3 linked regions of the Alligator mississippiensis genome follow. The protein of the gene in region 1 purifies or fractionates together with the protein of each later gene. This does not show direct contact. Links are inferred from orthologs where the notes say so. Each region holds a gene or a part of one and is shown in the gene's direction. Other genes may lie near its edges.

Region 1 (10,467 bases):
CCGCTGTCCTTCATTGTCTTACATATAACAAATTCAAATTCACAATGCAAGTTTCCGAAAATAAAACTTTATGAAGTTTTATTTCAGAATGGGCGTGTCCAGACAAATGTGGATGTTTGTTTTCCTGGGGACAAATAGCAGTGGCATACCTTGTGTTGCTACTTGTCCCTGGGGAATGCCCGTGCCACACTTGCTCTGGGGCACAGCAGATTTCCCTGGGCGGGAGGGGGTAAGGGAGGCTGGGGCCAGCAACTGTGCTGGTCCCAGCAGCCTTACTTGGAGTCCTGAGAGCCTTCTAGGGCTGAAGCCATGGCAGGATGCCCGACCGGTAGCCAGAGCGTGGGTCTGGTTTGCCAGGCTCTGGTTTTGGGCAGCGTGCACTGCCACCATGTGTGCTGCCCTGCTCTTTTTTTGACCCTGGGAGCCTGTGGGTCTGCGGTCTGCCATGTACCGCACGTCCGCGCTCATCTGGATGTGCCCTATGAGTAGTTCCTGTTCTAGTATGTGTGTTCCAAATGAATTGTTGGGAAGTTGAAATCTGTTTTTGAAGTGTTACAATAAAGCAAACATTTTGGATGGCATATATGTATCTCCTATTCTGCATTTTATTTATGCTGCATTCTTTTAAAAGTTGAATAGGATAAACCTATTTTTATTAAATCGGATATAAAAGCTACTGCCAATAATATGTGGCTAAGTCACAGGTTTTGATTCCTCTCCCAATTTAGAACTTTACGTCCTGTCAGATATAACCCACTGTGCAAACATTCCTGCTCTAAACAGTTGAAAATTGCTCCCAGCTATATTTTAAAACTCGAGAACAAATGGGAAAATTCAGTGCTACTGATCTGTAAGGTAAACCTGGGAGATGCCAGCAGCTTTTGAGATGAAGCCAAAGAGAGGGGACAGCATTGCCAACAACTAGAGGTCATAAAAGAAAAATGGTCCTGGAGTCCTTAAAATACAGCCAGTATTCTCTTGTGATAGTAATATTGTTGATAATGAATGATTTCAATAAATATTTTAATGAGAAACTTCTTCATTTCTGTTACTTTGTATTTACAAATATTTTATGATATGGACTTTCCATTTTGCACGGTAACAGTAAAACTATTTTTACAAACAGAATAATTATCTGTTTCTAAAGTTATTTTAATAATAGTTTTTTTTAAATTTTGTTTACTTACATTATCCTCTTTCCTCTGTGAAAAAAAAAAAAATTTAGTATATTTTAATCTAGCTTTTACAGTCCTTTCCAGGATTTATACCACAGTTTTGCTGATGTAGCTCACTGTATTACATTTTACTAGAAAGTTATCTGTTTCCTGAGAAATTTAGAAAATACCCTGGAAGCTAACTAACCCATAACTATAATTATCTTTTGTTTTAATGTAAATTTAATATTTCTAGCCTGTCTCATCTCTAACAGTTATTTCTGGATATTTTCTGTATTTCACTATTAAAACAGTTCTTAATATTTACGACAGCATTTGCCTTTTTATTAAAAAAAAAAAAAAAGATAACTGCTTAATTATCTCCTAAAACCAAGGTTCGTTTTCTGAATTATCTCTTATTAGAGACAATATAATATGAAGAAAATAGGTGTCCTCTAACAATGTCACTGTTTCTTAAAGATAGCTTGTCCAAATCCATTTCCCACCAAGCTGGGTGGGGAGTAGTAGATATGCTGGAGGGTAGGGCTAGGATTCAGAGACCCCTAGCCAAACTGGAGGATTGGACCAAAAGAAATCTCCTAAAGTTCAACAAGGACAAGTGCAAAGTCCTGGACTTAGGATAGAACAATCCCATGTACCGGTGCAGGTTGGTGATTGACTGGCTAAGCAGCAGCTCTTTAGAAAAAGACCTGGGGTTGCAGTGGACAATAAGCTGACTATGTCTATGAGTCAACTGTGTGCCCTTGTTGCGAAGAAGGCTAACGGCATAGTGGGCTGCATTAGTAAGAGTGTTGCCAGGAGATCAAGCAAAGTGATTTATTCCCTTCTATTCAGCCCTGGTGAGACCACATCTGGAGGCCACACTAAAGAAAGGATGTGGATAAACTGGAGAGAGTCCAGTGGAGGGCAACAAAAATGGTGATGGGGCTGAGGCACATGACTTATGAGGAAAGGCTGAGGGAACTGGGCTTATTTAGGTTGAAGAAGAGGAGACTGGGGGATATTTAACAATAACCTTTAACTGCCTGAAGGGTGGTTTCAAAGAGGATGGAGCTAGACCAGGGGTGGGCAAAATATGGCCCATGGGCTGGATCTGGCCAGCTAAGCCATTCTATCTGGCCTGCAAGGCCCCTAAAAATGTAGAAAATTAATATTTATCTGTCCTTGGTTCCTGTCAAAAATGACAGGAGCCAGGGGCAGTAGGACCCAGAGGAAGCCCCGGCGGGCTCCTGCAACAGCAGTGCCCGGCCGGCCCTGCCCCCCAGCCAGGAGCCCCAGCAGGGGCTTTTGGTCTGGGACCATGTGGCTCCTCCAGCATGGGAAGCTCAGGTAGGAAGGGGGGGGTGGGAAGTGCAGGGGACGAGCTGGTGCTGAGTACGCGGGAAAAATTGCCCTTCCCCCACCCTCGTGGCCAGCACTCCCTGCTGCAGCTGCTCGCAGGCCACGCAGGGCTGTCCTTAGCAGGCACAGGCAGCCTTGCACGGGCTGCGAGTGGCTGCAGCGTGGGACACCAGCCACAGGGTGGGGGAGGGGCCGCTTTTCCCCGTGCTCAGCACCATCTTGTCCCCTGCCAGCGAGCAGGGGGTCAGGGGTGCATGCTGCCTCCCGCTTGTACTGTGGGGCTGGGGGGGCACTGGGAATGAGTGGGTGTGGGAGCCAGTGGGAACATGGGGCCCACACCAGTGTCCTGGGGCCAGGGGCAGCAGGGCCCAGAGCAGGGCGGCAGGAGTGCAGGGGTCCCGGCTGGCAGGGGCTCTATGGAGCTGGGTCAGCTCCCCACTCTCCCTGCTGGTGCAGCTCAGCTTGGCTCCACAGACCGCTGCCAGCCTGTGCCCCATTTTGGACCCCATTGCCGCTGGCCCTGGGACATTGGTCCCAAGATGGTGACCAGGGGGCGGGGCACCTGTCAAGGGGCGGGGCTACCCATGCGGCCCTTGACAGCTTGCCAAAACTGGGTAAGCGGCCCTCTGCTGGAAATAATTGCCTGCCCCTGAGCTACACTGTTCTCGGTGGTGGCAGATGACAGAACAAGGAGCAATGGTCTCACGTTGCAGCAAGGGAAGTTTAGGGTAGATATTAGGAAGAATTTTCTCACAGAGTAGTAAAGCACTTGAACAGGTTACCCAGAGAAGCTGTGGAGTCTCCATCCTTGGAGGTTTTTAAGACCTGGCTAGACCAAGCCTTGGCTGGGATGATCTAGTTGGGGATGGTCTTGCTTTGAGCAGGTTGGACTAAATGATGTCCCAAGGTCCCTTCCAACCCAAATTTTCTATGATTTGGATCTAATATTTGGCTGTGCAATAAAAAAATATGGCTGTCCCAATTTTTTTGTGTGTGTAGTTAATTATATTTAACTCTGGGCATTCTTGCCAAAGCATGATTTGGGACATCACTTGCTCAGTGGAGACAGAGAATGTAGGACCAGGCTAACAGGGCAAAGTCATTCTTTTTTCCCCCTGTTCAGTATTGTTTGTATCAAACCTATTTTCTTGTAAATGAAGACATACTTTCATTTTGGTCTCTTGTGGGTAATAACATTTGCCTTGTCCAAAGTAGAGTTCTTCTCTTGGAAGAACAAGGCCCAATACTGACACTTTCCCTGGGGCACTCCAAAGACAAACACTGCCCCTGGTTGAATTCAGTAGATGTCTGTTAGACCAAAAAAATGCAAACAAAAATTGAGATGGCAGAAGGCTTGGTCAGACTGCTAGCTAATAGAAGGTTCCATACAACTTAAATTGGGAAGAAATAGTAACATTCAGAAGGAAGCTAAAACATAGAGGGAAGCAGGAGGCCAAAGGTAGCAGCCTCTGGTTATAGATGCAAAATTAGATATTGAGCAGCCTAAGAACTACGAGTGAGAAGTCTAGAATAACCCCTTGGTGTCAGGGAGCCGGGTCCAGCAGCAGTTGGAGAATTCAGGCTAGTGGCCTGCAAGCAGGAGGCAAAAGGTGAGTCTGAAGATTACAGGAAGACAGCATAAAGGCCCCCCCCCAAGGACACCATGCTAAAAGAACTGAATTTTGACTGATGGAGTTCATAGGCCACTAAAGTGCCCTCTTGGAGAGGAATTAAAATAATACCACAGCTACTACACGTGAGGAGTCCCTTAGCACAGCCAATGTTGTATATCTCTGATCATCATCCATGGGCCTGAGTTAGGAACTGCTGCATGAATGACGCGTGCCCTGTGGCAGCTGGCGAGGCGCAGTGGTGGGAGCGCAGTGGTGGAAAGTAGGGAGCTCCTGCAGATGCCACTGGAGCTGTTAGTGGCGAGGAGCCGGGTGGTGAGCGGCGACTGCCTGCAGGCACCGCTGACACTCGGTGGCACCTTTTTGTAGGGGGGGCACGAGCACCTGGGTGCACCCCTTACGTGTTGCCAATGAACTGCTGGTTTGCTTAATGCAACAGTTGAAGTCAAAACGCTGAGAAGATAAATATTTTTTTGAAAGTGCTTTTAAAACATTTCTCTTGAAATGTGCATTAAGGGGATTCTACTAAAGGCTGGAGTCTGCAGATGCTAGTACTCGGAGACGCACTACAGTACCTGTGTTTGTATTACACAAAAAATACTATCGGAGAGCTGGCTGGGGTTAGATGCACCACAGCCTTCGCAGTGGCACCTTGCAGCGGGGTAGTTACAGCACTATGTGTCCTTTGAAAGGATCCTCTTCAAAAGCACCCTTTAGGAAGTTTTGTATCGCTCATCTGATACCTTTGGTCTTACAATCAATAACAAATACAGTTCATTCTCGTTGACCGTGAGGTGGTTGATGGCGGTCCCGGAAGCGAGGCCTGTGTAGATCCCAACCCAGATGTATAACATCCAACCAAATGGACCTTACGTGAGAACTGAGCTCTCAATTTTATACGGGGGTAGCTGCAGAACCTACTTCATCGAGGGGTCAGCTCCTCTGAGGACCAGCGTTACCAGCCCAAACTTTTTTTTTTTTTATTGCGTCCCTCCCCTTCCAGATTTACCAGGCGGCCACGCACCTCTCCCAGCATACACTTTATATTTTAACTCCTTCAACACCAATTATGACTAGAATGAACATTAAACCTGCTGTCACACAGCGTCTCCCACGCGCCCCTGCCGCAGAGGTGGCTTGTGTCCCCCCAGGGGTAAGCAGCCCACAGTTTGGGCCCCCCCCTACACTCAATCTTCAGCCAGCAGCAGGAAGGGATGCCCAAAGTTTCCTGGCAAACAGCTCACGTTGCCACCTGCCACCCTGGGGGGATCCACTCTGGCTTCTGTTGGGGGTGATCCGGCTCCTTGGCGGGTTGGGATCCTGAGGGCAGGGGGGCTGTGGCTCTCTGGGAGGGGGCGGAGCTTCCGGGGGGAGGGGTCGGAGCCCCCTCACAATGCGAAGCGGGGGATGACATCACCCGTTCTGCCCCAAAGAGGCGCTTTCCCATTGGCCGGGGCGCCGCGGCGCTGCGGGCCAATGAGCGCGAGGCCAGGCGCCAGGCAGCGCTGACGTACGAGCTGGCTGTCGAATGGGGGTTTATTTTGCTTTGGCTCGCTTCAGCCGCCGCCATTAGAGGAGCGGGGAGGCGGCGGGACACGGCCCGACCCCCCGGCGCCGCCGAGTGGGAGCGCCCGCGCCCGAGACAGCGCAGCCCGGCTGGGACGCACCATGTCCTGAGCGGGGTGGGGACGGGGCGCGGGCGGGCGGGCTGGCGGGCGGACGGCTGCAGGGACGGATCCGGGCAGCGAGGTAAGGCACCCCTCTTCCGCTCGCGGGTTGGGGCTCGACGCTGGAGCTCGGTGGGGGTGCGTCGTTGAGCCGCGGCCGCGCTCAGGGCCCGGGGAGGCTTCTCGGGGCCCGGCAGCCCCCTCCCCCACCCCCGCCAACACTTTCCCCCCCCCCAGGTGTGCGGGAGGTTGCGGACACGAGCGCTTCCCTGCCTGCCCCGAGTGCTTATCCCGCGGGCCCCGAGGGGGGTCGGATCGGCCGCAGCAAATTTACTTCCCTAACTCATGCACGAGACCCCCAGCTCCTCCCCCACCCCCATCGTAGGTCGCCCGCGCAGTTAAGGGGGGGAGGGGGATTCATCCGTTGGGGTCTGGGATGTTTCGACTTTAGCTAGTCAGGAGCGGTTGTGCTGGGAATGGCTTTGTGCCGCTCCTGGGGTCTGGGAGAGGGAGGCCCGAGAGCGAAGCCAGAGGCTTGTAGCGATGTGCAGTCTGCAGTTGCACGTGAAGAACGAATTTCACGTTTTTCGGTGCAGGATAGAGCTGTCCCCGTGACGGCCCCGGAGTAACTTTTCTGCTTCTGTTGCATTTCCTAGGATTTTAGCAGCTTTAGCCACTGCGTCAATCAGGCTTTTGGAGCAAAGGATTCGCTAAGCGTGCTCTTGTCATGGCATCTGCTTGATGGCCCTCGTCCCGGTGTTTGGATGGCGGGTTGTGATTTAAAATTTAATGAGGGGAGGTATTTAAAACCCTTGCTTTTATACTGATTATAGAGCATGGGTCACAGTGGACTTTAATTGATCAAAAATACTTTTGGGTCAAGACCGTGTCTTCACGTTTTAGCTAGTACAGGTTTCCCTCGCTTTATGCTGCGCATGTGTTCCTGGAAAACTGCACATAACTTGAATTCTCATAAAGGGAACAAATAGGGACACGTTCCAAGGCTTCGACTGTACTGACCCCCAGAGCCACTTCTACCACTTTTACAAGACAATTTTGGTACTCATCAACAGCAGAGAGGGGTAGGAGATAAGCTAGCCGAATGCATAGAAGCCATAATGGGGATGGCAACTATAGAAACGTGTCCTAGACGACGAGCGAGGAGCACAGGTTCACACGGGGAACTATATTTTGGTGCGCATTGCTCCCACAGTGCACCGCATAAAGTGGCTGACTGGGCTTCCACCGCACCGATTGCATAATAGTGAATTTACCTTGCATATAATGAATTTTTGGTATAAAAAGGGTCACTGTGTAAGAGTGAATTTGCATGTACAGAACCTGTGTAAAGCGAGGGAGACCTGTACAGGTTTCCCTTGCTTTACGTGGGTTTGGTATGTGCAAATTCACTCTTACGCAGTGACCCTTTTTATATCAAAAATTCATTATATGCGATTGGTGTGGTGGAAACCCACAATCAGCTACTTTGTGCGGTGCATTGTGGAAGTGACGTGCATTAAAATAGTCTCCTGTGTGCATCTGTGCTCCTTGCTCGTCTGCGATGTGCATTTCTGTAGTTGCCATCCCCATTATGATAGTGCACTGTGCTTGTGTGTACTGTCTGCTGTTGGGGAGTACCAACATTGTCTTGTAAAAGTGGTAGAAATGGGTCTGGGGATCAGTACAGTCAAGGTCTTGGAACATATTCCTGTTTGTTCCCTTTACGTGGATTTGAGTTATGCACCATTTTCCAGGAACACATGGACATCATAAGCAAGGGGAAACTTGTACTGTGGAGGGTTGGAACTCCTATACAACAGTGCGTTATGGAAGAGCTTACACAACCTCAATGTACAAGCATCACTTCTAATTATCCCTGTTGTTTAAAGAACATATAAAATAGTTGTGCTTGCTGAGGTGGGTTTTTTTAATTAGCTTTGTTATCTTTGCATAGCAGGCTTTGGAGTGGTGGGTTAGTAAATGACTGACCCACAACTATGGAGGTGGCAAAATGGCCTACATGTTAAAAGCTGTTGTGACCCTTGTAGCATCTAGTGCGTAATCTTACAGTTCTTATCAGAAGAAAAAATCATGGCCAGCTTTAATACATACTCTCTAGAAACTAATTTGTTTGCATATGTCTGTCCATTAGCCTAACAAAGGAAACGTGTTAAAATATTGAATCTCTGGAAGCCTGGCTTTTTATTTATATTAATGAATTCCAGTAACATAATTTGTGTGTTTTAAAATTCACATGAATTTTAATTAGTATTTGATACGGTGTCAGGCTAACTAAAGTATTAATCAGCCCATGTTTAAGTTCTATTTCCAGCTTCACATAGCTTTTGTTCTCCCATATTTCTTACATAGGGCTAAAGTAAGTTATCCATTTTTGTTACTTCACACATAGAACTGCATGCTAAACTCTTTTTGTGCTGCATCATCATACATTGAAGTTAACATGGTAGTTAAACTGCCCTTGGATCTGTTCCCCCTCATCTCAGAAATTCTGTTAATAATCTCATGTGTTCTAACGTTGTAAAACACAGGAGCCTTGAACAGACCAATTGCTTGTGAGCAGATAGACCTCATCCTAATTAGATGACTAGTAGGCCACAATCCTGTAGTAAAATAGAGCTAAAAGTGTAGTGTTTGGAGACCAGTAAATAAGTCAGTATTGGGTGGCGAGGGAAAGAAAGCGATTTAGTTGTAATTAAAAAAAAAAAAAAAAAATAATCTTGAAAGCAAGACTGCTAATTAGCATTATAAATGATTTGGGAGAAAAGTAGCAAAATTAATGTATTTCTGGCACTGATGTTTGTTACATAGCTTGTGATGAGCTGACTGCTTTAGCTGTCAAATAGCATAGCTTGGTAAAAAATTAAGTAGCAGATAGTTGTCACTTTGATAACAGTGAAATTCAATTTGTTGCACTTTTTAAAAACAATTTTTAATTACAGTCCTAGACATAGTTCACATTTTAGGCATTTCACTGCCAGTAATAACATTCCAGCACGTAGTTTTTGTATTTTTCCTGCATTTTAAAGTCCAGTGAAGCCAAATACTTGAATTTCTCCTTTTATCAAGTTGGCACTTTTTTCTTGTTTGTTTGTTGTTGTTGTTGTTTTCTCTGACTCCTGATCGTGGCTTGAATGAGAATTTTCCCTTTCAGCATAGATCTCTTTTTCTAAAGTGAATTGATTTGTCCAAATAACTAGTTTCTGTGTTGTTGGTTTTTTTTAATGCAGTGATTAATTTAGAATGTAAAAAAACAACAACTCCAAAACAAAAAAACTGAGAAAAGTAAAGAAATCATATTGGTAACTAGTAATATTTGTTATGTTCTATGGAGGTTTTTTTTCTCATGATATGGCTAAAAGGTGTTTTATAAAATGGCCCTTAACTGCTTTTGTTTTGCATTCTCCATGGAGTAAAGAAATTTACAAGTGTGACCTAGAATAGTAGAGAGAAGCTCCATTACGTAGATGCAACAAACATTTTAATACTTTCATGTTGGATTTAGAGGCAGTGAACACTCTGTTCATGTGCACCTGTTTGTGTAGGTGATGGATCACATTTCTCTTAAGACTTCCTGCTTTAATTTTGGTAGGTGTTCAGTTTCTAATTTAACTTCAGACCATTTAGGGCCTGATTCGGAGACCCGTAAAATCAAAAGGGAGCTTAGCACTTGCTTCAATGGGCTTTGGACTAGTCCATAAGGCTTTCTGGTATGCTGAAACAGGCAAGTTTGAAACTCAGTGGATTGGAGATGGCCATTGTAGCTGACCAAAATTATGTGTGTATTATAAAGAATGAATGTTATGAAAAGATAAAATAGAAATGCAAGACGTGCATGTATATGTACATTGGCTTTTACTTAAAACTTTTTTAATTTCACTAATTTTAAATTAGTCACTTGAACAGAGTAGTCAATCTTGCAAATAAATTTATTTCACAGCTTTCTTGTCAAGTCTCACATCGCTTATGTTTGGCTATTACTGGATACCGCAAGACAATTCAAGTGTGTGTGTACACAGCATAAAACTACATATTCATAGGCTTGGTAGAATTCAATTTTTATTTTTTAAATAATTTTGATAGATTAATGTTTATTTAAGTATTTATTTAGATTTTTATCAATTTAAATTCTTAGGATTGTGTGATATGAGGTGTGGGGGGGATAAACTCTTAATGACAAGCACAACTACTGTAGGACTCATCAGCTGAGTGGCTAAGCTGTCATCGGTCCCAGCTCCACTAGTCCGTAGCTCCCTCTTGTGCTTTGTCACTTCCTCTTCCTTTGTTCCCAGTCCCCTGGGGTTTCTAGGAGTTGCAGTCTAAACTACAATTAGCACGATTTTGTTGAACTGCTCCCTCTGTCAACACATACTCCATCAGCCATCATTTTTCTTACGTGCTCTTTCTGTCAGTTTTGATTACTAATGATGGAAATTTTTTTTGGTAGTCTGAGAGTATGATGTGAAAGTGACATATATCAGCATTTACTGATTAAAAACTCAATCCTGCCAAGCCTACGTATTTGGATACTTTTTTGACTTCAGTGGGACTACTTTTGATCTTTAAAATGTATATTTCAACAATCAACGAAGTTTATGAAGCAAAGTTGGATTGGAATAATTTAACATGTGAAAA
Region 2 (10,467 bases), on another chromosome or scaffold:
TCTCCTTGTCTCTCGCCCAGTGAAGAGGATATGGCTGGGAACATGGGGAAGCTCTCTTAATTGTTGATGCAATCCAGAGGGTTTGCCATGCACCAGGACTCTGGCTTGCGCTTTCCCTTCTCGCTTTGTACGTGCATAGGAAGCTCTTGTAATTGCAGCCCTGGATCTCAGAGCAGACTTGGTCTCCCACTCAACCAAGCAGAGCCCACATATGTTCCTAAATGTTTGCCCTTGTGACTGTTGGGGGGGTGGGATCCTGGGCAGTTCCAGAGTCCAGACCCCCTCTGTTCCATTTGTCTGTCTCAGTGTTAGTGTCAAAAGGAATCTTAGCTTAAGGGCTTCATCTCTGTATAAGCCATGTAACAAAAGGACACAATGGAACAAATGGTCCCACGTCTAGGGAAACCTTGATTCTGTCAGAGGGAGCATGTCCTCATCGACCTGGGAGGGATAGGTTTATTTTGTATATGAATGATTTTTAATGAATGCAATATTAATCCTTGCAGATGAGCAATAAATCATTAAAGTCTAATTAAAAACGATTAGAAAAACGACATCTCTTGCGCGGGAAACTTCTTTTAAAGACATAGCCTGGCACCTTCTCATCAGCAGGTCAGCTGTTGCCATTTTGGGCATGGGAACAGAGCTGTTGTTTGCCCCTTTTAATCAGGACCTGCTCAGACAAACACATGGTGGCGCACACTTCATCCTCAGCAGCTTAACAGTGGGTGGTGGGGAGAGGGGCGTACAAAAGTAGCCGTTGCCGCAGTGGAGGTTGATCATGCCAACAGTGTGCGACTGCTCTAGGTATAGAGTTGCACTGCTATCCCTCTGTTCATCCTCCTGATGAGGTGGTCAGACCTTTAATTGATGGGCTGTGTAACCTGGTAGGCTTCTTATGGATACAAAGCAATGACCTGGAGACACAAGTCTTTCTTCTGCATTTACTAGATTCATTCAGACACTGGAATCCTTCTGTACAGCCCCCTGACAAGGGCTCTGCTACTGAGCTGTGTTATACTGGCGTAGGATACCGATGCATCAGGCTCCTGTTATGACCAGCAAATTCTGAAGCAAATTGCTAAAGGAATCTGCTCTCTATCTGCCTGTTGATACAGATGTCACCTAGTGTTTGTGTTTGTTTAACTAGTGTCCCTTCAAGGTCCCTTTACAAGCCTGCTGATGTTCAACACAGTCCTGTGGATGAAGTTTTAGAGCGGCAGTTCCCAACCTTTTTAGACAGTGGACCGGGAAACTGTGGGCCAGTATACTGCAGTCTGGAAGTGACGGGCATACTGCAGACCGGCAGCCAACCCTTTTTTATATACTCAGTATAAAAAAGGGTTGGCTGCCAGTCTGCGGTATGCCCATCACTTCTGGTCCAGCAGCCAAGCCTTCGTGGACATGGCCCCGGGGATGGGATCCTCTGTTTTGGAGGATGGAAACTGTTTGTCAATAAAACACTTGATGACCACCTACTCTGATTTTTTTTTTCCCCCTTCAGTCCTTGCTGCTCCCTGGAGGTGCAGTGCAGATATATTTGATGACAAGGTGCTTAGCCCCACATGGGGGCTCCCTGAAGAAATCAGGTTTAAAATTGAACACCCTTCCTCTTAGGCCTAGGATGTCTAAAATGGTTCAAATTCCAATGTAACCAGTTTGCCAGCCTCATTACTACTGACTTAGCATGTCCAGGGCTAGCGTCTGCCAGGGGTTCACTGAGTGGGGAAATCCAGAGATGTGGATCCTATTTGTGGCTTCAATTTCTTCACGTAAATGCTAGTGCTGATCTTTGGGTGAAGCACCGATGCCTCTGAGTGAAAAGCACCAGGGAAGCAAGAAGATGAAACTTAACCAGACTTGGACGGAAGTTCCTTCCCTTAGTTATTTTTTTACATTTTTCTTTATCACTGAGCTCTGCTGAGGTGCATGACTGCAGTTTGAAGTCAGCTGAGCAACCCTTATAGAGCTTTGTTGCAGACAAGCGCCGGCGCCATGTTTCCCTGCCATCTGCCCGCTCTATTTTGCGTTTCCGGGGTTGGTAACAAAATCCTGCTCAGTCAGTAGTGTGGGGAGGAGGAACTTTGCCAGTGCCGACATGCCTACTTCTCTGAGCAAAGCTGCTTGGGGCCACCGTGGCCTTTTGGAGCCTGTGTACTGGGAGCTGTTAGGACTCCAGGGTCTCTTATTAGCTTGGTTGCTGGTATTTTAATAACCACTTTATAGCAAGAGAATGGGAACACCTTAAGCCACTTTTAAAACAGGGCAGTGGGCATAGACCCTCGGAGGTAGCCTCACTTGAGCTTGGACCCTCATAATGAAGCTAAACAGGAGCTGGTCACATTTGAGCAACCTCCTACCGCCCATCTGCTCTAGAGCCTGCTGTGAGCTGCCTGCCACCTTATGCAAAAGCTGCTTGCATGGATGAGCGTGCATGCCCTGAGCAAGCAATGCAAAGACGGGCGTGTTGCCATTTCTGCCCCCGGCACCCCCAGGACTTCCACCTGTCGGCTTGCAGCTTACAAGGCTACCCGGCTCCAAGCAGGCATTGTGGCACTTGCCGTACTACCAGGCCAAACCCTGGTGCTGTCCCATCCCCTTCTTTTCAGAGCCCGGCTGAAAACACCAAACGGGTGACTGGGCTCTTCCCATGAAGCTGCACGTAGCCCATGCTCCAGAGAGCCAAGCAAATAGCAGAGACCACTGCTGCTGCCGGACTCGGGATAGGTTTGTGCTTTTTTTGGAAAATTTTTCATGTCCCAAGTCAAATTGGCCAAATCCATTCCGAATTTGTGAGTCTTTCAAGAACCAGATGTGGCCCTGCTACCGGCAAGCATCCTCCACCCCACATGGGGCTTCAGAGGTTTGCGATGTCTTTGGTGGGCATCCTACGTGCAGGCCCAAGCCCAGAGGCTTGGGGTTCGGATGCCCCCGAGTTTTGCTTGCCCTCGGCCATATGGCCGCAAGAGCAAGCTAGGGAGGAGTCCCCTATTTCCATAAAGTTGGCGTGTATCTGAGATCTTCCCACTGGAAGTGAAAGTGGGAGGCCAGTGGGAAAGCCACTTCATAGTCATGGTGTTTCCCCTGCTGAGACAGGTCCTTAATGCTACCAGAGCCCCTCGCGAATACAAGAATACAGACCTGTTGGTTCAGAAATGATACCTTTTATTAGCCCAACTAAGAAACCGCAAAAAAAATTCTCTTTTTTCTGCAAGTGTTCGGGCTCAAAGGCCTGTCCCCATCTTGAATTTGCCCAGAGCCTGATGAGATGTTTGCATTTCTTTTTGTCTCAGACCATTACGACTACCAAATACGTTCCTGAACCATTAATACAGGGGCTTTTTTTTTCCCCCTGGTGGAAGCAATTGCAGGGGCTAGAGGTACCCTGGGGAAGCTGTTTGGAGGCTTTGGCACTAGCTGGGGCCTGGGGACAAAAGGGGTGCTTTCCTCTGCCACTTGTTTCCTGTTCAGCCTTGGGTGTATCACTTCCTCCACTTGTGCCTCGTTTTCCCCGGCGTTAATGACGGTGCTTTGGCAGCTGGGACCAGGCCATGACGCCTTCAGGCCTCAACTGGGCTCCGGGATGAGTTTAAATCGCTTTCTGTGCTCTAGCTTGAGATGGCCACACCTAATATGGCCGCCCGGGCGGGGAAGAAGCTCCTTGATGGCCACACCCAGCATGGCCGCGCAGGGCGGGGCCCATCAGCGGCGGTCACATCCAGCATGGCCGCTGGGGGGGCGGAGCTATGTTCCATTGGTAGCCACACCCGGCATGGTGGCGGGGGGCGGGGCTTGGCGAGGCATCGAGCATGGCGGCGGCTCCTCGGCTCTTCCTGCAGTTCTCGCGAGAGCAGCCGGTGAGAGCTCGCGAGATGTGGGCTCGGAGTGGGGGGCGGGGGTGAGGCGGTGCCAAGATGGAGCCTGGCGGCTTCGTGGGGCCGGGGCCGCTGGCGGCCAACAACAAGCCGCGCAGCGGCCCGGCACCGGCACCGGGGCCGGGGCCGGGGCCTGGTCCGGGTCCAGGCCCAGGTCCAGGTCCAGGCCCAGGCCCAGCGCAGGGCCCGGGCCTGGCAGGCGGGAAGGGCCGCGAGTTCAACCGCAACCAGCGCAAGGACTCGGAGGTCAGCGGAGGGGTTGGGGTCGGGGCTAGACGGGCATGGAGGGGGTTGTGCCCCCACGTCTCGCGTGTGTTGACACCCCCTACGGTGCCCGTCCCTGTGGCAGGCAGGGGGTTGGTCGGGTGGGGCCCCGATGGGTGGTGCAGGGGGCCCGGCCGGGGCTGGACGCCATGTCCCCTCCCAGCCCCGCAGGCAGGTCGTTTCCGAGTCGCATCTGCTGTGCTGCTTGGGACACGGATCACCGTCTTTCAAAGAAGAAAATGCCGCCTCCTTCCCAGGAGCTGATGGAGACGGAGGAGCTCCCAGCGGGGGTGGGGGGGGGGGTTGTGACGGGTCACAAAGGCTCTCAAAGCCGGAGGCTTGCCTTAGGGCCGGCCGAAGAGCCTCTTCTCAGGAGATTAAGGCTGTGTCTTGAGGAAGTCCCGAGGAAGAGCTTTCTCTTTCCCCTTGGAAAGGCGCGGGATGATCCTTTCTTCTTGTGACAGGTGGTTTAAAGCAACTCCGGCGTCTCGCTGGCTTGTTATTCTCCCCCCCTGCACTCGGGCACTTTCCCCGTGTTCTTGGACTTCTTGTTTTTGTCTGTTTCTTACTTGGCGTGGAGGGCCCTCCTGCACGTGACATCCCAGCGATGCATTTCTGCAGGGGTTCGTGCTGTCCGACATCAATGCGGTCTCTGAGGCCCCTGTGGTCAAGACCTTTAATGCTAGGATTAAACGAGAGGTTCTGTCTGTTTTACACAGTGATTTTCACTTGAGGAGATCCCCACCCCCCAAGTTGTCTTGAGGCCAGTTGTGTGTAGAGATCACGTATGGCTGCGCGCAGCAGCGCAGAGCAAGGTTACACAAGAGAGCGATCAGTATTACATCAGCCCAGAAGACGGGGGATACACAGCAGGTTGCCTCAGAAACATTTAAGATCTGCTGATAAATGCCGGGTGTTCGGCTGAAGATGCAGCATGAGCCTGCAGCAGGGGGTTAACTTTTATTGTTCTGACTGATTTACTGATGCTTTTTAATGAAACGTGCTTTGTTTAAAAGTGAATTTTCCTTCTGTCACCAGGGCTATTCCGAATCCCCAGACTTGGAGTTTGAATATGCAGATACCGATAAATGGGCTGCGGAGTTATCTGGTAAGGGAATTTAATCCCTCTTGATCTCTAAAGAAAAGTTGTATTTTGCTATGCACTCATCTTTAGCTGCATCTTGGTGTTGTGTATAGTAAAGCTAATGCTATTTTGAACCATAGTTTTTGCCATATGCTGTGTTTTATTTGTCTTGAGTCGGACAACAGAAACTGTTGGTTCCGTTTGAGTGCGTCTTTTTCTTTCTTTTTAATTGGGTTTTTGGTTGTCATCCTAACAGTTGCTTTGCTGTTTGGATTACAAGTACTTCTAGGCAAAAATATCTTATCTCTTAATTTAAAGACATCTTTAGTTTGGCAATAATAGTTTTAACCATCAAAAGTTTTCATGTTAAATTTCACTTGCATAATGCCCTGGGTTTTTTTATTGTATTAAACTCTTGATTATGTGAAATGTGAGTGATGGGGACCTTAAAAAAAAAAATTAAAAAAAAAAAAAAGAAAAGAAAAAAACACATCTGATTGTCAGGAGCTTTAGGATTGAGTTCTGTTCTGTGCCTGTTTGTTACGTGACTACCATAGGCAGTCTTTGAGAAGTACTTTTTGGGGGGGATGCTGAAAGAAAAGTGACAACAACCAGACACGGTTTATGGTATGTTGGCAGAACTGTACAGCTACACTGAAGGCCCAGAATTCCAGCTGAACCGAAAGTGCTTTGAGGAAGACTTTAGGGTCCATGGTAAGATAAGTTTATTCTTCCCTTCTTGTCCCCTGTTCATAGGTTTTAGGGTCACCTGTAGAACATTCATGAGGAGATGCAAGTACTGATGTGTTATCCCTGTGTCAGGGCAGGAACTGACTACAAACATCCCTTACTTGGTTTACAACTTATAGTATTTGCTGGCAAATATTGTCTCTATCCAAGGGACACCTTGCTAATGTACCTCACCGATGAGCACATTGTTTCTGGCTCATTCAGTAATTTATCTCTCTAAATGTGGTGGACAGTTAGTGCCAATTGTGGCTGTGGAAGGCACTATGAACAATCAACTTATTTTACCTATGCCTTTTGGTCTCAAACTGGGATACTTGTATCTCATAGGGCATGTGGCAAACTCCTAGAGGGCATGTGAAGGGAGGAATGGGCAAGCAGAGAAAGGAAAAGGGAAATATAAATAGGGAAAAAGGAAGAACAATTCTGCAGTTTCTCTTAAGTTGTTGGATAGCTGATGTTAAGGGCAGCAGTAATGACCTAGTATTAACTTTTATTATCCATGCTATGGTACAAGACCCAGACAGTTTGGGAAGCCTGACCTACTGTTGACCAGCTATTAGACTCTACTGATTTCTGGTTGTAGCTGATGTGTATTTCAAAGGATAAGTCTCATTAATCTGATCTTGCAGTAGCTGGCATTAGTGAGTCTCCTCAGTGTGACCTCTAGCAGATCAGATATGTTTATATTCTGTTCCAGGGTTGTGATGAACATCTTGCCCAGATTGACAGTCTATCTTAATGTCAGTACTGGATACCCTGAATTTTTGGCCATGTAATCTGCATCTTTACATAGGAAGAAGAGCTGCAACTGGTCCATGGTGTTGTGGCTTTTAGGGAGGTATAGAAATAGCTAGTCCTTCCATTTCACCAAAGTGATCGTTCTTGGTTTTTCAGTGCATGATAAAAAATGGACCGAGCTGGACAACAATCAGCACCGGACTCATGCCATGCGGCTCCTCGATGGGCTGGAGGTCACTGCCAGGGAGAAAAGGCTCAAGGTAGCCCGGGCCATCCTCTATGTTGCACAAGGTAGGGGACCATGTCAGCTAAGGGGATTTGACCCTCCTGAAATCACCCCGGCCCTTGCTTTTTCTGTGCTGAATCTGTAAGGGGTGTTAGTTTAAAAAACAAAGAGAGAGATTTGAAATCAGTTTCCTTTGTGTCCCTGCAGCTGTCTCAAGCTGCTTCAAAATGTTATTTCTGTAGTGCCACCGCCCTTAGGGGGTCTCTTCGCACCTGTTGCCCAACTGGTCCTGGCATGGGGCCGGCCAGTATGCCAGGCTCCTGGGCTACAAGTTCTAGAATGCTTAAAGGGGTTCTTGTAGCATTGGAACCGGGCACCCCAGGGTGCTGGGCTCCTGGTCTGCAAGTGTTCCAGGATGTTTAAAGGGCCAGGGAGCAGGCTGGGAGAGCAGAGAGCACCAGTTTTCCCACCTGGGCAGCCCATGCTGATAGCAGCCTTGTTCCTGTCTCTGCTCTGCAGCAATGGGATAGGGCAGCCTGCAAGTCTACCTGACAGATCACTCTGTGGTTTGTCTGCTAGCCAGCTGTCTGCTAGTCTGGTAGCTTTGGAGTGGGGGGAAGGAGAACAGAGCACTGTGGGACAGTGGGGGGGTCTATCTACCTGGCCAGATGTTAAATTTGTGTTGGCATTAAGTTCCTATTTAAACAGCAACTTCTTTGTCACAGATTAGCCACCTCTTTGCTGGGACAAATTCCATTGACGTCTGGCATGGTGTCATTTCTCGTGGGAAACTTGACCATTTCCTGTGACGTGTATGGCCTGGAGGAGACCTGAAATACCCTTCTTCCCTTCCCCTTCTTCCTGCCTCTTTACTAGTGTGTGTCGCTCAGTTTCCAGCAGTGAAACAGACAGACCATTCTCATCTCGAGTCCTAGCTGGGTTTGCATTTTGGGGCTGGGTTCCGAGGCCCAGGACACACAAGTGTTTGGAGCAAAGATGGTTTTGAGTGTCAGAGCTGTGCTTCTCAGAAGTGCTTCTGATAACATATTATTTAAGCTGTCTTTGGGCTCTCTGTTCTGCCTATACTGGCATCTGAGGAGGTTCCAGTGTAAGTTAGAGCTGTCTGGGGCCTTGCAGCAGCCTTCCTACCGCTGCCAGTAGAACACTCCATAGCACAGTGTGTGGTGCTAAATGCTCCAGCCACTCATATCAAGCCTGCTGTCTGTGCTGTGGGAAGCCTGGGGCTATGGAGAGAGGCCTTTCACAGATGCTGCACCCTCTGAATTTTCCCCTCTAGCTTCTGTGCCCTGTTTTTACAGTTGCCATCCCTGGGCCAGGGCTCAGGCAGGACACTGGTCTCTTTCTTGTGTGCTAACAAAATTCCAGGGCGACCTGTTAATTCTATCTTGGTGGTTCTCAGCCTTTTTGGACCCTTGGGTAGACTTGAGGTGCCCCTCAGAAAATGCCAGCTCTTACTTTTCACTCTTCTTGCTTATGGAAAAATAATAGTGTAGTTTTTTGGTTGCAGAGAACTTGGAAGGCTCAGAGCTGTGGATTTCTATTTGAAATCTCTGGGTTTATCTTATGACAGTGCTAATATTGTATGGTGCCTTGCACCACCCTTGACAGTACCACCCTTTCCTTGCACCACCCTTGACAGTACCCCAAGGTGCTATAACACCCTGGTTGAGAATCACTGCTCTAACTGAGTAAGTTGCAATTGGAATGATTTTATTCAACCCTGGAAAAAAATTCTGGTACAAGGTTTGATGGAATCAACCATTCCCATTAGTTGGACCAACCATGGGAGGCAAGTGACCTGCGTTTTGTCCATCTCTTTCACTAACACTAATGCAGCTCCACATCATCCAGAGGACAGACCCTTCCCCTGCCTGTAAATGTGCATCTGATGCCCCCAGGTGCTGCCAGGCTCACTATCTGTCAGTGAATCGGTAATCATGTTTTTCTAGGCACCTTTGGAGAGTGTGGCTCTGAAGCAGAGGTTCAGGCCTGGATGCGATACAATGTTTTCTTGCTGCTGGAAGTTGGTACCTTCAATGCTCTGGTGGAGCTTCTGAACATGGAAATTGAGTGAGTGCCATAGAGTTGAGGGGATGGGAGGAGGATGGAAAGCTGTGCCAGTAACAAGTTGATAACTGGATTGTGAACTGCTGTACCTGGATATCTTTCCAGCTTGTGAAAGGTACTCAGTTGTAAGCAGTTCTCTGCTGCCAACTGAGGTCCTGTGACATTGCTGGGCAGTCTCCTGTTAACTTCTGTGGGTTGGTTTGGGCCTCATGTCCAAAACTATGTATGACAGGCAAAAGCCTTTTCATATTGCCCTACCAATATGCTCCAAACTTGTTGTGGAAATACCAGCTCTCACTGTCCACTAGGTCCATTTGCTCCCTAATCCTCGTCCCGTGGACAAATGTGCTGTGTTTTTGTACTGCAGAGGTCTTAGTTTGTAGGACAAGCAGTTTTTACTAGCTGACAAGCAGTTGTCAAGGAAGTGGCAGCTGGGCTTGTTTCAGCTGGTGACTTGCAGTAGAAAATCTATCATATTTCCAGTCTCTTGAGACAAGCTTCCTGGCCATTGCAAAGCAGCTGGTCTCTTTTAATAACAAAGGGCATACTTGAGAAGTCATCTCCTGTGTTCTCACTTGATCACTCCCCTGCTGTGGGTAGAAAGATAGGAGATGTGCATGGAGCCAGACAGTTTTGGAGAATGTGATTCCTATTGGGAGTCCATCTGTGTAATCTGAGAGCGAGGCTGTCACCTCTCACTATCTGTCATGAGCAGATGCTTGGCTCGCTGTTAATGGGAACGCAGGGTGAAAAATCCATTGAGGAGAGGGCGCTTTATTTTTGGTGTCTCTCTTCATAGTGGAGAGCTTAACACTTGAGTGAAGGGTGGCATGACTAGATCTGAGAGCCAGTAACTCTTAAATGGTAATCACAGCTCTGACATCCTTGAAAGCTTGGGCAAGTCACTGAGTTTTTTTTTATCTGAGAAATGGGTTGAAGTACTGAGGTGATGGGGAAGGATCAGTGAGATGTTTGAGAAATCATCAGTTTCCCTGAGGAGAATGGAACTCCATCTAGATACCCCTAGTTTTGGCAAGCATGAAGGGTTCTGCGTTTGTTCCAGGTGTTGCATTATCCATTTGGAGGCTTCCAGTATTGCATTGCATCCCAGCCAGAGCAGCTGGCTCCTGTGTGTCAGTTGGTTACTTCTGCTGGTGTTAAAACTTCCCAGCTGTTTCTTTATAGGGAGAGGGAGATGCAAGCAACCTGATCTGAGCTGCTGATTCTGTTTCCTTCTTTAGCAACAGTGCAGCATGCAGCAGTGCAGTGAGGAAGCCTGCCATCTCCCTGGCTGATAGCACAGACTTGAGGTAAGAAGCCTTGTGAATAACCTTCTTAAGCTAATAAGGGATTGAACACTGGACATCAGGAGCTAAGCAAAAGGCCTTTGGGATTGAGGAAGGGCCTTGGGCCAGGTGCACTGTGGGATTTATTGCCTGCCT
Region 3 (10,467 bases), on another chromosome or scaffold:
GTGGCAGAGTGGAGACACCAGAAGACATGACAGCAGTGCTGCCTGAAGGCCAACTGTGCAGCCACAGCCCACTGGCAGCTGGCCCAGAGGTGCAGGTGGCTCTTCTGCAGTGCCTGTACTACAGCCCAGGCAGCCATGTGGTCCCTGTCTGGGTCTGGCAGGCATGCAGCCATGGAGACACAAGTCCAAGGGGGCAGATGCTGTCACATGTGGCAGCAGGTCACAGACAGGCAGCAGCCCCCACGGCCAGACCGCTGCAGTGGGTAGAGGGTGCAGGGGCCACTCTAGGTTAGGGCTGCTTCAGCAGTGTAGCTGGCACAAGGGGCTAGTGTCCCCAGATACCAAGTGGCCAGGCCTCAGAAACTCCTGAGAACAAGTAGCCCTGAGCTGTTTGCCAGGGCAGGATTTTATACTGCTGGGGTCTAGCCTTTAGCTCCCCCTGGCTGCAAATCTGGGAGGACCTGAGCAGGGTCAGTTTGCCTCAAGTGGCACAATTTGCCCCACACCAAAGTGCATGTTCAGGCACATGTGCTGAGGCACAATTCTTCGGCAGAAATTTGTGCCACTGCTACTTAAACTGCTGCAAGCACACGTACCTATATGTGTTAATGTACTCTCTGGGTTTATTTTGTGAATCATGTTTGTACATGTAATGGTGCTAACATTGTGCAGCACCCTGCAGAACCCCTGAAAGGATCTCAAGGCACCCCAGAGTGCCATGGCACCCTGGTTGAGAATCACTGTTCCAGCTAAATGCGATTTATTTCCAAATATAATACTGAGCACTTACATAGCACCTTCTACCTGAACAAGTCAATATCTCTCAAGAGGTATGTCTCACAACTGCCCTCTAAGATGGCTATTACTACACTCCTCTTATTTTGTAAATGACAAATTGAGATATACAGAGAGTAAGGGACTTGGTCAAACGTACAAAGAGGTGAGTGCCACACACAGAATTAGAATATAGGCCTAGTACCCACTGCACTTACTAACTAGGTGAACCATGTGCAGTGAACAATTAATTTAGCTCTTCATGTGGTATTCATGAGCAGGATATAATTTTTTACCAATTTGTTTACTATTCATGAATGTTTAAATAGCTTTTACAAGCTAAAACTAATGTGATTGTTCTTTCACATGATTTCATATTCAAATTCTGTCACTTGTCACATGGTATTATGTTCCCTATTTAGAGGAATTAAACTTTATAAATGACTTCTGTTTGAAACTAGTTTAATGATTAAACAAATCTTAGCTATAGGCTCAACATTTTCTTTTTGAATATTCATGTTAGCAGAACTTTGCTCATATGAAAATTCACTTAAAGCAAATATGTATGCAAATGTAATTGAGGTAAATATTTTTTACTAATCACCCATCTCTATTTCCCTCCACTAGCCACTTTTGCTTCAACTTAAATGTATTATAAAATCAGTCAGTTTTGAAGATGAATAGTTAGTATGTTTTGGTGATAAGCAGAGACAATATAAAACAATTATTTTGAGAGATGTCAATTCCTGCAAGTAATGTAATGGAAGATTCTCTCATACTTATTATGATACAAATTTGAGTCAGGGCTCAAATCCGGAGGGGATGCAGTGGTGAGATGTACCTCCCCCTCTTTCGTTGTGCCACATGATCTCTTGCCGTGGGGTCCGGCTGGAGCCCATGAGGTGAGTACAGCCCCTTGTCCCCTCCTTTATCCAGCTGCTGAATTCAGCAGAGGAAGAGGGATGGAAGGGTGAACAGTAGCAGCCTTCACTTCAGCCAGTCTGCCCTGATTGGCTAGTGAGCTCATGGCTCACTGCTCATGCAGAGCTCCAAGACTGCACATTCTTACTTTTATGTTAAGTGAAAAATCCCTTGACCACAATGGATAAGCATAAGGTTCCACATATGCATAAATCTCTGCAGGGCTGGACCCAGTGACACACTATCAACATATGACACACAGATTCAACTAACTTTGTTATTGGAAAAACAGGACTATGAACCTGTTTTCCTCCTCTTGAGACAGACTTTGAATAAGCAAGAATCTTTCTACAGGCAGGATTTCTGAACGAATAATGTGGAGTCACTGGCATATGACAGGTTCCAACTGTGTGAGACAGCATGACTGCTGCCACTGCCTTTTTGTCCTCTGAATACACCTCTTCGCCTAATGACAGGAAATGTCTATGATGTAGGCAGTAATGACATTCAAACATGCTATAATCTTATTTACAATATTTATATTATTAAGCCTCACATGACTAAGTTTCCTAACAAAACTCCATGTGATTCTACAAAGTAAATTATTGTGAAGACTTTTTGGTCCTTAACACTAATTTCAGAGCACTTTGCTTCCTTTGTTTTTAGAATTATATGGGACAATTGTGTAACTATTTACAGTATGTACTAAAGAGACTATTGAGAGACACTGCTATGATAATATACATAACCAACAAATTCTGAGGTTATAAATTATGGGCAAAATCAGGCCTCTGGTGTGATAGTACTCAGACTTTGTCACAAAAAGGCGTGTCCATATAAGAAAATATTATTGTGTTTGAAGGTAGCTGTAAAGGATCAAGTTAGCTTGATACAACACGGTCTATGGTTGATGGTGTTTGCAGAATTGGGTCCCAAGTAATTAAATGAACAAAAAGGCAAATAGCCTGAGTTAAACTTAAGGGTAGTAAACTCAGTAAAAAGGCTAAATAGTGGGCAAATAGGGATGAATTAAAGAATTAAACCATAGCAATACACACAAATACATATGCACACAAAGAAAATAAACATGGAAACCTTGTGGTACATTCTTTTTCTTCTTCCATTTTTTGTCAGCATATCATTCATGTAATGCCTGATCTTTCAGCTGCTTAAATAGGACCCCTTGTGAATGAAGTTGCATACATGAATGAATGCTTACAGAAACAAGTTCTTAGATTAGAAGGCCTCTGGGGCAAGGATACATCTTTCTACATTTGTGTTGGGCCTACCACACTATTGTATGGTACATAAAGAATTCATTATACCTTCAAGGAGAGCTGTGAATGTTAATTAGTTCATGTCTGCACAGCAGTTTGAAACAAGAAAAGGGCTGGATAAATGCTATTTAACTATTAATAATATTATGTGATTGAACTATGTTTAGAAATCACGTGCTGTTCGGCCTGGGCTAGTACTTTGAAAAATGGTTTTCAAATAGCTATGCCTTACTCATGATGACAAGATAAATACTGTTTAAATCATATCAGCATGAACTACGTGTAGGGTAATAGACTATAAAGCCTGAAGGGATTGTTGTGATCCTCTGGTTTGACCTCTTGCACAACAATAGCCATATGACCTAGCTGTTTAGTTTTAGTTTGAACTAATTCTCCGTCAACAGAAAGTTTTTAGATGCAGGATAGACAAATATTTTCAGAAGAGGTTTAGATGGGGATCATCCTGCCTTCAGTACTGGTTGGACTGGATGACCTCCTGAAGTCCCTTCAGCCCTATTTTTCTCTATTTCGTGATCACGTATTTTATAAAAAATATTAAAACTCTTTTTTTAACAATGTATAGTGGAGAATCCACTACAAACCTTAGTAATTATAATTTCAACTCTTATTCCAAGTCTGAATTTGTTTAGCTTCAGTTTGTAGCCATTATCCACTAGCCCAGCGACTCCTCTTTTTTCAAATTTCTATTCTCTATGCAGGTACCTCAAAACTAGCAATTCTCAACTTGGGTGCCATGAGAACCTTTTAAGGATGCCCCACAATATTAGCACTGTTTGGTGTACAAACACCTACACAATTCATAAAATAAACCCAGAAATTTCAAATAGGATGCTCACCTTGCTGGGGTCCCAGCAGTCTTTCCTGCCCAAGCGCAGTGGGGCTGGGTCCGATGATCTTGTGACGTCCCTTCCAGCCCCTAACATCTACGAATCTATGAAACCTGGTATCAAACATCTCTTTACATTTTAAATGAAAAAACTTGCCAAGGCCTGATTAAAAAAAAATAAAAAATAAAAAGATTGATGAAACTGAATGTGCTGGTAGAAAATGTGTTGTACAGAAATGTTCAGCCAACTGTACCTAAAAAATGCCACCAAAAAAACTTTGCCATGCCTCTTCATTGCTTGCCCTATTTGAAAACTTCAGTGTCAATAGGGTACAATTAAACTCCTGGCAAATTTCCCCTCCCTCTAGTCTCTTCTCAACTTTTGTGTGGTCATGTCTCCCGGGAGGAGTGAAGGTGGAAGGAAGCAGCTTTTCCTCACGGCTGTAGAGAAAAGCCTGAGAAGCCGTGGTCACCTCTGCAGGCTGTTTTGGGGATGTGTGCGTGCGGACTGGTCCGTAGTTAGGGGTATCTGCCTGCCTGTCACTATGGAGTGGGTTCTATCCATACATCCATGTATCTGTTTGTGTCTGTGTCTGTCTACCACTATGTACGTGTATCTGTCTGTGGTTACAGACTGGACTGTATCTATCAGTCTGTTACCGCGTATGTGTGCGGATCTCTGGATTTATTGCTGGATCTGCGCCCAGTATCTGGGCGGATAGGCGCAGCCCCCAGGGGCAGGCAGACGCGCGCGGCCCCGCGATGCGCCGGGACTGGCTGCCCACGGTTCTAAAGCCCAGTCCTGGGTTGGGAGGCAGGTTTGCCGGCGCCGCGCGGGGCGGCGCGGGGCGGGGGCCGAGGCCGCCGGGGGGCGGTTCGCGGCGCGGGGCCGGGGCCGCGCGTGACTGTGAGGCCGGCGGCGCGGGCTCCTCCCCCCGTGGCAGCGGCGCCGCTCCCCTCCCGCAGGCCCCGCCGGGCGGAGCGCGAGGGAAGCCAGCCGCTCGCCGCCGCCTCGCGGCCTCCCTGCGGCCCTAGGAGCGCCCGAGGCGCGGGTGAGTGCCGGGGGACGGGCCTCGTCTCCGCCGCCAGTCGGGTCCCCCGCGCGGCCTGCGGCCTCCCGCCAACTCGAGCGCCGCTGCCGGGCCCGGCCGGTGGGCGCCGCCAGGCCGAGGCCTTCCGCACGCGGGCGGGCGGGGAGGGGGCGTAGCGGGGCCGGACCGGGCCGGGCCTGGTGCGGGGCGAGGGCGGCTGCCTGGGGCTGCCCGGAGCGCGGGCGTGGGGGGAAGGCAGCAGGTGTTCAGCCGGGCCCAGCGCCGCCGCCGGGGCGGGGAATCCCCGCGGGCTGGAGCCGGGCCCGGCCGCCCCGGCGCGGAGGAGGCCCCGCGTCACGGCTGCGGGCTCCAAGAGGGCTGCCCCCTGCGCCCTCCTGGGCTGAAGCTGCCACCAGCCCCGCACCGGGTCCCGGCGGGCGGCGGACTTTGCCCGGCCGGGCCTGGCTTTGTGGCTCGGCCCCGCCGTGCGCGCCGCCCGCGAGCGGACCCCGCGTCTCGGCCTTTCATCCCGGGGAGGGGGCGGTACTGGCCTTCAGGCCGCGCTCGTCTTGTTTTTTCCTACCTGATTTGATTACGAGGTTTGGAGCTGGCGCCCCTTCGCTGGGGGCCTGTTTCAAGCCTTTGTTGCAGTTGCGGTGTCTGGGGGAGGCTGGCTCTGAAGGACGCAGCTTACAAAGTTGATGCAACTTGATTTAGTGGTTCTCGAGCTCTTGTTTTTTAGGCGCAGGGCATCCCAGCTGTTTTCCCTGGACTCTTGATTGCAGAAGAGCAGAGCATTTCTGTGGCAAAGAAGTCGGGAAGACCATAGCTAGGGGTTTCTGTGTGAGCTCTCCGGGTTTGTCTTGTAAAGCACATTTGTAATCCTAACCGTGCTGATGTTGGATGGCACCTTGCAGCACCCTTGAAAGGGTCTCAAGGCACAGGAGGGTGCCGCAGATCCCTAGCTGAGAATCACTGGATTAATTGGACATTGGATAATAGATAGGCACACAGGACATGGCTCTAATAAGGTACTAAGAAAGGGACTTTTGATCTTGGCCAGTTATGCAGCGTGTTTATTGGATCGGTAAATAGCACCATTTGCCATGTATGCCTGCTCCTGCCTCTAAACAGTTTTCCTTATGAACATACAATTTTCTGTATATTTGAAACACCACCTCAGCATGTCATTTAAAAGGCAAATGTTTTGAGATCTTCATTCTACTCTTCTGGTCCTTTTGTTTAGAAATCATATTCCCCTTTTTTTACTTGTTATTTTAGAAAATTAAACTATTTGGAAATGCTGAGTAAACATTCCCTTTCCAGCATCTGCCTCACTAAATTTATCTTTCATGCCTTTTCTGAATGGGTACTAATCGAGAGAGAGAGAGATCCATTTTCTTTTATAGAAAGATCTTTCTGAGAGTGCAGAAATGCTCAACTCTTGGGAAATTACACTTTGGCTTGAGAAGGTAAAATAATTGTTATTCTTCAGATAATACTTATCTGAGAAACTAGCTTACAAAGATATAACAGGTTAGGAAGTGCCGTTCCACTCCTGCCTCCAAGTTCTAGTTTTTACTAAAAATAGTAATAGATTAAAGCTTTCATCATTGTCTCTGGGGAAGAAGATTCCACTAAAGTAGAGCATACTAACTAACTCTTGTCATTTAAAAAAAAAAACTGGTCATGGTTAATGTCTTGTAAAATCTTGAGTGACACAAATGCAAGAGATGAGTATATACTTATGAGTTGCTTCTTTTTTTTAGGTGAAGACTGCAAAAGCCCTGGGTCTGACTGAAGGGAAAATTTCACTGTACTAGATTTACTCTGGCTTGAACACTTAAAGGCTATTTTTGGATACTTTTTAATTAAAGCAAAAATCAACTTTTATAAACCATGGCAGATGTGGATCCAGACACGTTGCTTGAATGGCTGCAAATGGGGCAAGGGGATGAAAGGGATATGCAATTAATAGCGCTGGAACAGCTATGCATGCTGCTTCTGATGTCAGACAACGTGGATCGTTGTTTTGAAACGTAAGTATGGTTCCTTTTGTTTGTGTTGGGAAGAGTAGGGACTTTTTTATCCATTGCGTAGATTGTGTCAATTTTATTTAACCACTTCTCCTTATTAAGTTTATACAAAATTGGACGTGGTAAACTAGAACCTTTTGCACTCTTGAAAATATGCAGAACAAAACCTTTACATCTTTGTTCAGACCATACCACCATAATATCATGACTTCCTTTGCAAAATAAACATGTCATGCTAAGAAGTGTGACACATTGAGTAGCTGATCCTGGCACGTCTTGGCTGATTCATTTCTAAAAGGCCTCTTGCAAGTTAAAAAAAAAAAAATAAAAAGTTCCTGTTTTCTTTTGTTAAAGGGAATTAAATTATTTAATTAAATTATTTTGACTTTTTTAACCCTAAAATTCAGGGTTTTTTTATTTATATTAAAATGCCTGCATCACTGAAGTTTTTTTCCCTTGCTCTAAGACGTAGTAGCACTTGCTTTGAACTTTGCAAGCCAAAAAAATTAACATAACTGGCTTTGTCGCTTAGGACTGTTACCTAAGTATCTGTGGCTTATAACAACTTATTGTAATAACATTACTCTCTGTAAACGCCAAGTAATGGTTTTGGAAGGTAGGCATTTTGATCTTAAAAAAGAAAAAAATAAGTAAAAATTGAGCCTTTAAAACTTAACTTAGTGGGCGTGTCCAGATGAGTGTGGCTGTGAGGAAGTGGGGTGGGCAGGTGTGGCCAGGCCTGGGACCGTGGGGCTGTGGCCTGGGGCAGAGCCATGATCCGCTCCCGCATGCCCCTTTGATAGACACTGGTTACACAGGTAAGAGCGTGTGTGGAGCAGATTGTGGCTCTGCCCCCAGCCCCATGCTGTCACTGCCCCGGGACCCTGTGGTTTCCATGGAGAGTGGCTGGGACCCGCAAGTGTGGGGTGTACGGCCAGGTGAGCAGGGGGCCCCATCTGGGAGTGGGATGGATGGGTGGGGCCAGGGCAGGATCTTGGGGCAGTGACACTGTGGGCCCACAGAATCAGTGCCCATCACAGGGCCATGCAGGTAGTGGATCGTGACTGCACTGGGCCTTGACTGCGCTATCACTGCCCCAAGATCGTGGCCTTACCTGCCTGTCCTGCTCCTTTATGCTGCTCCACACCCATCTACAGCCCCATCCCATCTGCCTGGCCACATGCCCCGCCAACATGGGTCCCAGCCCCCACTAGTGCATGTGGGGCAGAGTGGCCATGGTGCCTGGGTAGTAGGGTTAGGTTGGGTGGCAGCACGTGGAAAGAGCCGTAGCCGCCAGGACTGCTGGGAAGTAAGTCTGGCTGCTGTGCTGCTGCAGCCGCGCTCCAGGCTTGGGGGTGGTGGGACTGGCTGCATGTGCTGGGCCAGGTGGCACTGAGGAACTTGCTGCAGGCCAGATGAAACCCCTTGGCTGACTGGATTTGGCCTACTCTAGTCTAATGTGTCATGTTGTGGCAAGGTTTTTGACTTTCTGTTCTGCTTTCTCAACCTTTTTGGTCTCTCTCTTTTTTTTTTTTTTTTTTTTCTCTTTCCTTCTGGCCTTATGTTTCCTTTTTTTCCCTTACTCCAGCAAACCAAAGGTTGGTATGATTATTGTCTACTGAATTTTGCCATCACAGTTAAACTAAGGACTGTGGATACATACATACACACTGTTGCTAGAGTGTTATTGTTTTTTTTAGTCATGTGTATTTGACCAGTTGTAGTGCATGTCCCTTCTGCTAGAAATGTTTGTAATGATTTGCAACTTCTCTGGAGTTTAGATGCAATAGTAACTGGGAATTAGAAATTGCTATTGTAATAGCAATGTATATTATACATTGCTTTAGAAATTAGATTTGGTGCTCCTTGGCATGGAGAGCATAGAATTTATAAATATCATTATGGGTGGATATTTGTGATGAGATGAACTCTCTGGTCCTTTCCTGTTTGTTTGCTTGGATTTGTCTGGTGCTTGTGCTCTTAGGCTGTGAAAAACTGATTTACTGAGTTCTTAACTTGTCTCTGTTGATCAGGGTTTGAGTACACAATTAAAGAACTTCTGACAGCAGGGCTGTCCAACTGGCAGCCTGTGGGATGTCTGTGGACTGCGAGGGCTTAACCTTTGGCCCCTGAGCTCCTCCAGATCCAGGTGCCATTGCCCCATTGTTCTTTTGCTTTCCAAGTCTGTGGCTCCATTCCCATTGTATGCTTAAAGATGAGGGCTGAATAGGAACTTGTTAAACATAAAGTGTTTGTAAACATTTTTTTTCTGCATTTGATAATGCAAATGTATTATCTTAGTAAAAGCTGAATACTGATTACAAAAGACTTTGGTCCCTTTACATGTTAGATGCTGTTTTGTAAAAGCTTATATAGTAAGCACTTGTAAGGTTATACTGTTGCTTTTATTTATGTTTTTTTTTTTTTACCCATCATAATTTGGGTAAAATGGGAACCACTTACCATTTTCAGTTTTACCATTTGCCAGTGGTTTTGAGACTGTTCCACAGAACCGTGGTTCCACAGGAAGTCATAAAGGAGTCCACAAAGAGATTGAGGGTAATGGTGGAGTGGGTACCACCATTGCTGGGCCAGCTCTCTTGGCTCCACAGATAAGGCTTCCATGGTAGAAGTGATATGAAAGGGTTCTGTGACTTTAAGAAGTTTGAAAACCACTGTCTTATGTAGTGGAAGGCATTGGCTGGTTGGTTTCATTATATGGCTTGTTTTGGGGGGGTTTTTTGGTTTTGTTTTTTTTTTGGTTTTTTTAACTGTTTGCCTCACGGAGACATGAGAGCGGGGAAAATATAAGTAGAATAATATGTTTGTAAATTGCACAAATTGTATGGCTTCTGAAGTAGGTGGAAATTTAATCTTGGGAGTTTACTTTTATTTAACTTTTTAATAGGGTAGATTTTCAATTTACTTTGTTCCTTCAGGGGCCTGCTTTAGAGCACTGATTGTCTTGAAAAGAGTTACTGAAATCTGTTGCAAACTGGGTAACTCATTGGCTAACTTAGCCACATGAGGAAAGCATGATAAATCTAATTCTTGATAGTATTTCTATAGTTGATTTTTAGTAATATTTTGAAAGAAATTGTCTTGCCTAACTAGGGATTAGCATTGGACACATCTGTTACCAAACATTTTTCAGTGACTGATCTTTAAAATGGCATCCGATTGCCCCATTTGTAATGTAGACATAGCCTTTTTTTGACCCTTTAGGAAAATGTCTTGGTAAACATTTAAAAGCATGTTTTCCTGCTGTACAGCAAAATTGGGAGAGGCCAAGGTTGTGGTGTATTGCACAGCTGTTGCATTTCAAGACCTTTGATCTGTGAAGAAATTCTGTTTTTCAGTGCTAGTGATGATTGGTTAGGAAACTTTGGTCTGTGGAATTTAGCAACTGAAATTCAGAATACTTTTTTCTATCTGTGAGAGAATCTTTCTCAGATTTGTTTTTTACAGGAAAGTTTTGGGTTTTTGTTTTGTTTAAAAAAACATAAGGGGTAGTCAGTCGTCTTTGTGATACAAACCAAGTGAGTTGCAGTTTTAATGAAGTATGACTAATGATCACCAGT

Evidence for each region.
Region 2: the proteins of ZRANB1 (region 1) and STRIP1 purify together in Homo sapiens (affinity purification with mass spectrometry; 4 studies listed by BioGRID and IntAct, with this or other methods). This does not show direct contact. The link is inferred for Alligator mississippiensis from reciprocal best matches to the Homo sapiens genes ZRANB1 and STRIP1.
Region 3: the proteins of ZRANB1 (region 1) and HECTD1 purify together in Homo sapiens (affinity purification with mass spectrometry; 5 studies listed by BioGRID and IntAct, with this or other methods). This does not show direct contact. The link is inferred for Alligator mississippiensis from reciprocal best matches to the Homo sapiens genes ZRANB1 and HECTD1.

The regions. Positions count from the first base shown.
Region 1 is NC_081829.1:82,513,950-82,524,416, reverse strand, and holds the start of ZRANB1 (ubiquitin thioesterase ZRANB1), read left to right. Parts: upstream 1-5,704; 5' UTR 5,705-5,896; intron 5,897-10,467. UniProt on the Homo sapiens protein: Ubiquitin thioesterase, which specifically hydrolyzes 'Lys-29'-linked and 'Lys-33'-linked diubiquitin. Also cleaves 'Lys-63'-linked chains, but with 40-fold less efficiency compared to 'Lys-29'-linked ones.
Region 2 is NC_081837.1:34,617,974-34,628,440, forward strand, and holds the start of STRIP1 (striatin-interacting protein 1), read left to right. Parts: upstream 1-3,880; 5' UTR 3,881-3,914; coding exon 3,915-4,121; intron 4,122-5,177; coding exon 5,178-5,247; intron 5,248-5,862; coding exon 5,863-5,937; intron 5,938-6,867; coding exon 6,868-7,002; intron 7,003-8,907; coding exon 8,908-9,028; intron 9,029-10,266; coding exon 10,267-10,335; intron 10,336-10,467. UniProt on the Homo sapiens protein: Plays a role in the regulation of cell morphology and cytoskeletal organization. Required in the cortical actin filament dynamics and cell shape. Part of the striatin-interacting phosphatase and kinase (STRIPAK) complexes.
Region 3 is NC_081825.1:253,447,692-253,458,158, reverse strand, and holds the start of HECTD1 (E3 ubiquitin-protein ligase HECTD1), read left to right. Parts: upstream 1-4,740; 5' UTR 4,741-4,871; intron 4,872-5,433; exon of another isoform or gene 5,434-5,624; intron 5,625-6,619; 5' UTR 6,620-6,749; coding exon 6,750-6,889; intron 6,890-10,467. UniProt on the Homo sapiens protein: E3 ubiquitin-protein ligase which accepts ubiquitin from an E2 ubiquitin-conjugating enzyme in the form of a thioester and then directly transfers the ubiquitin to targeted substrates.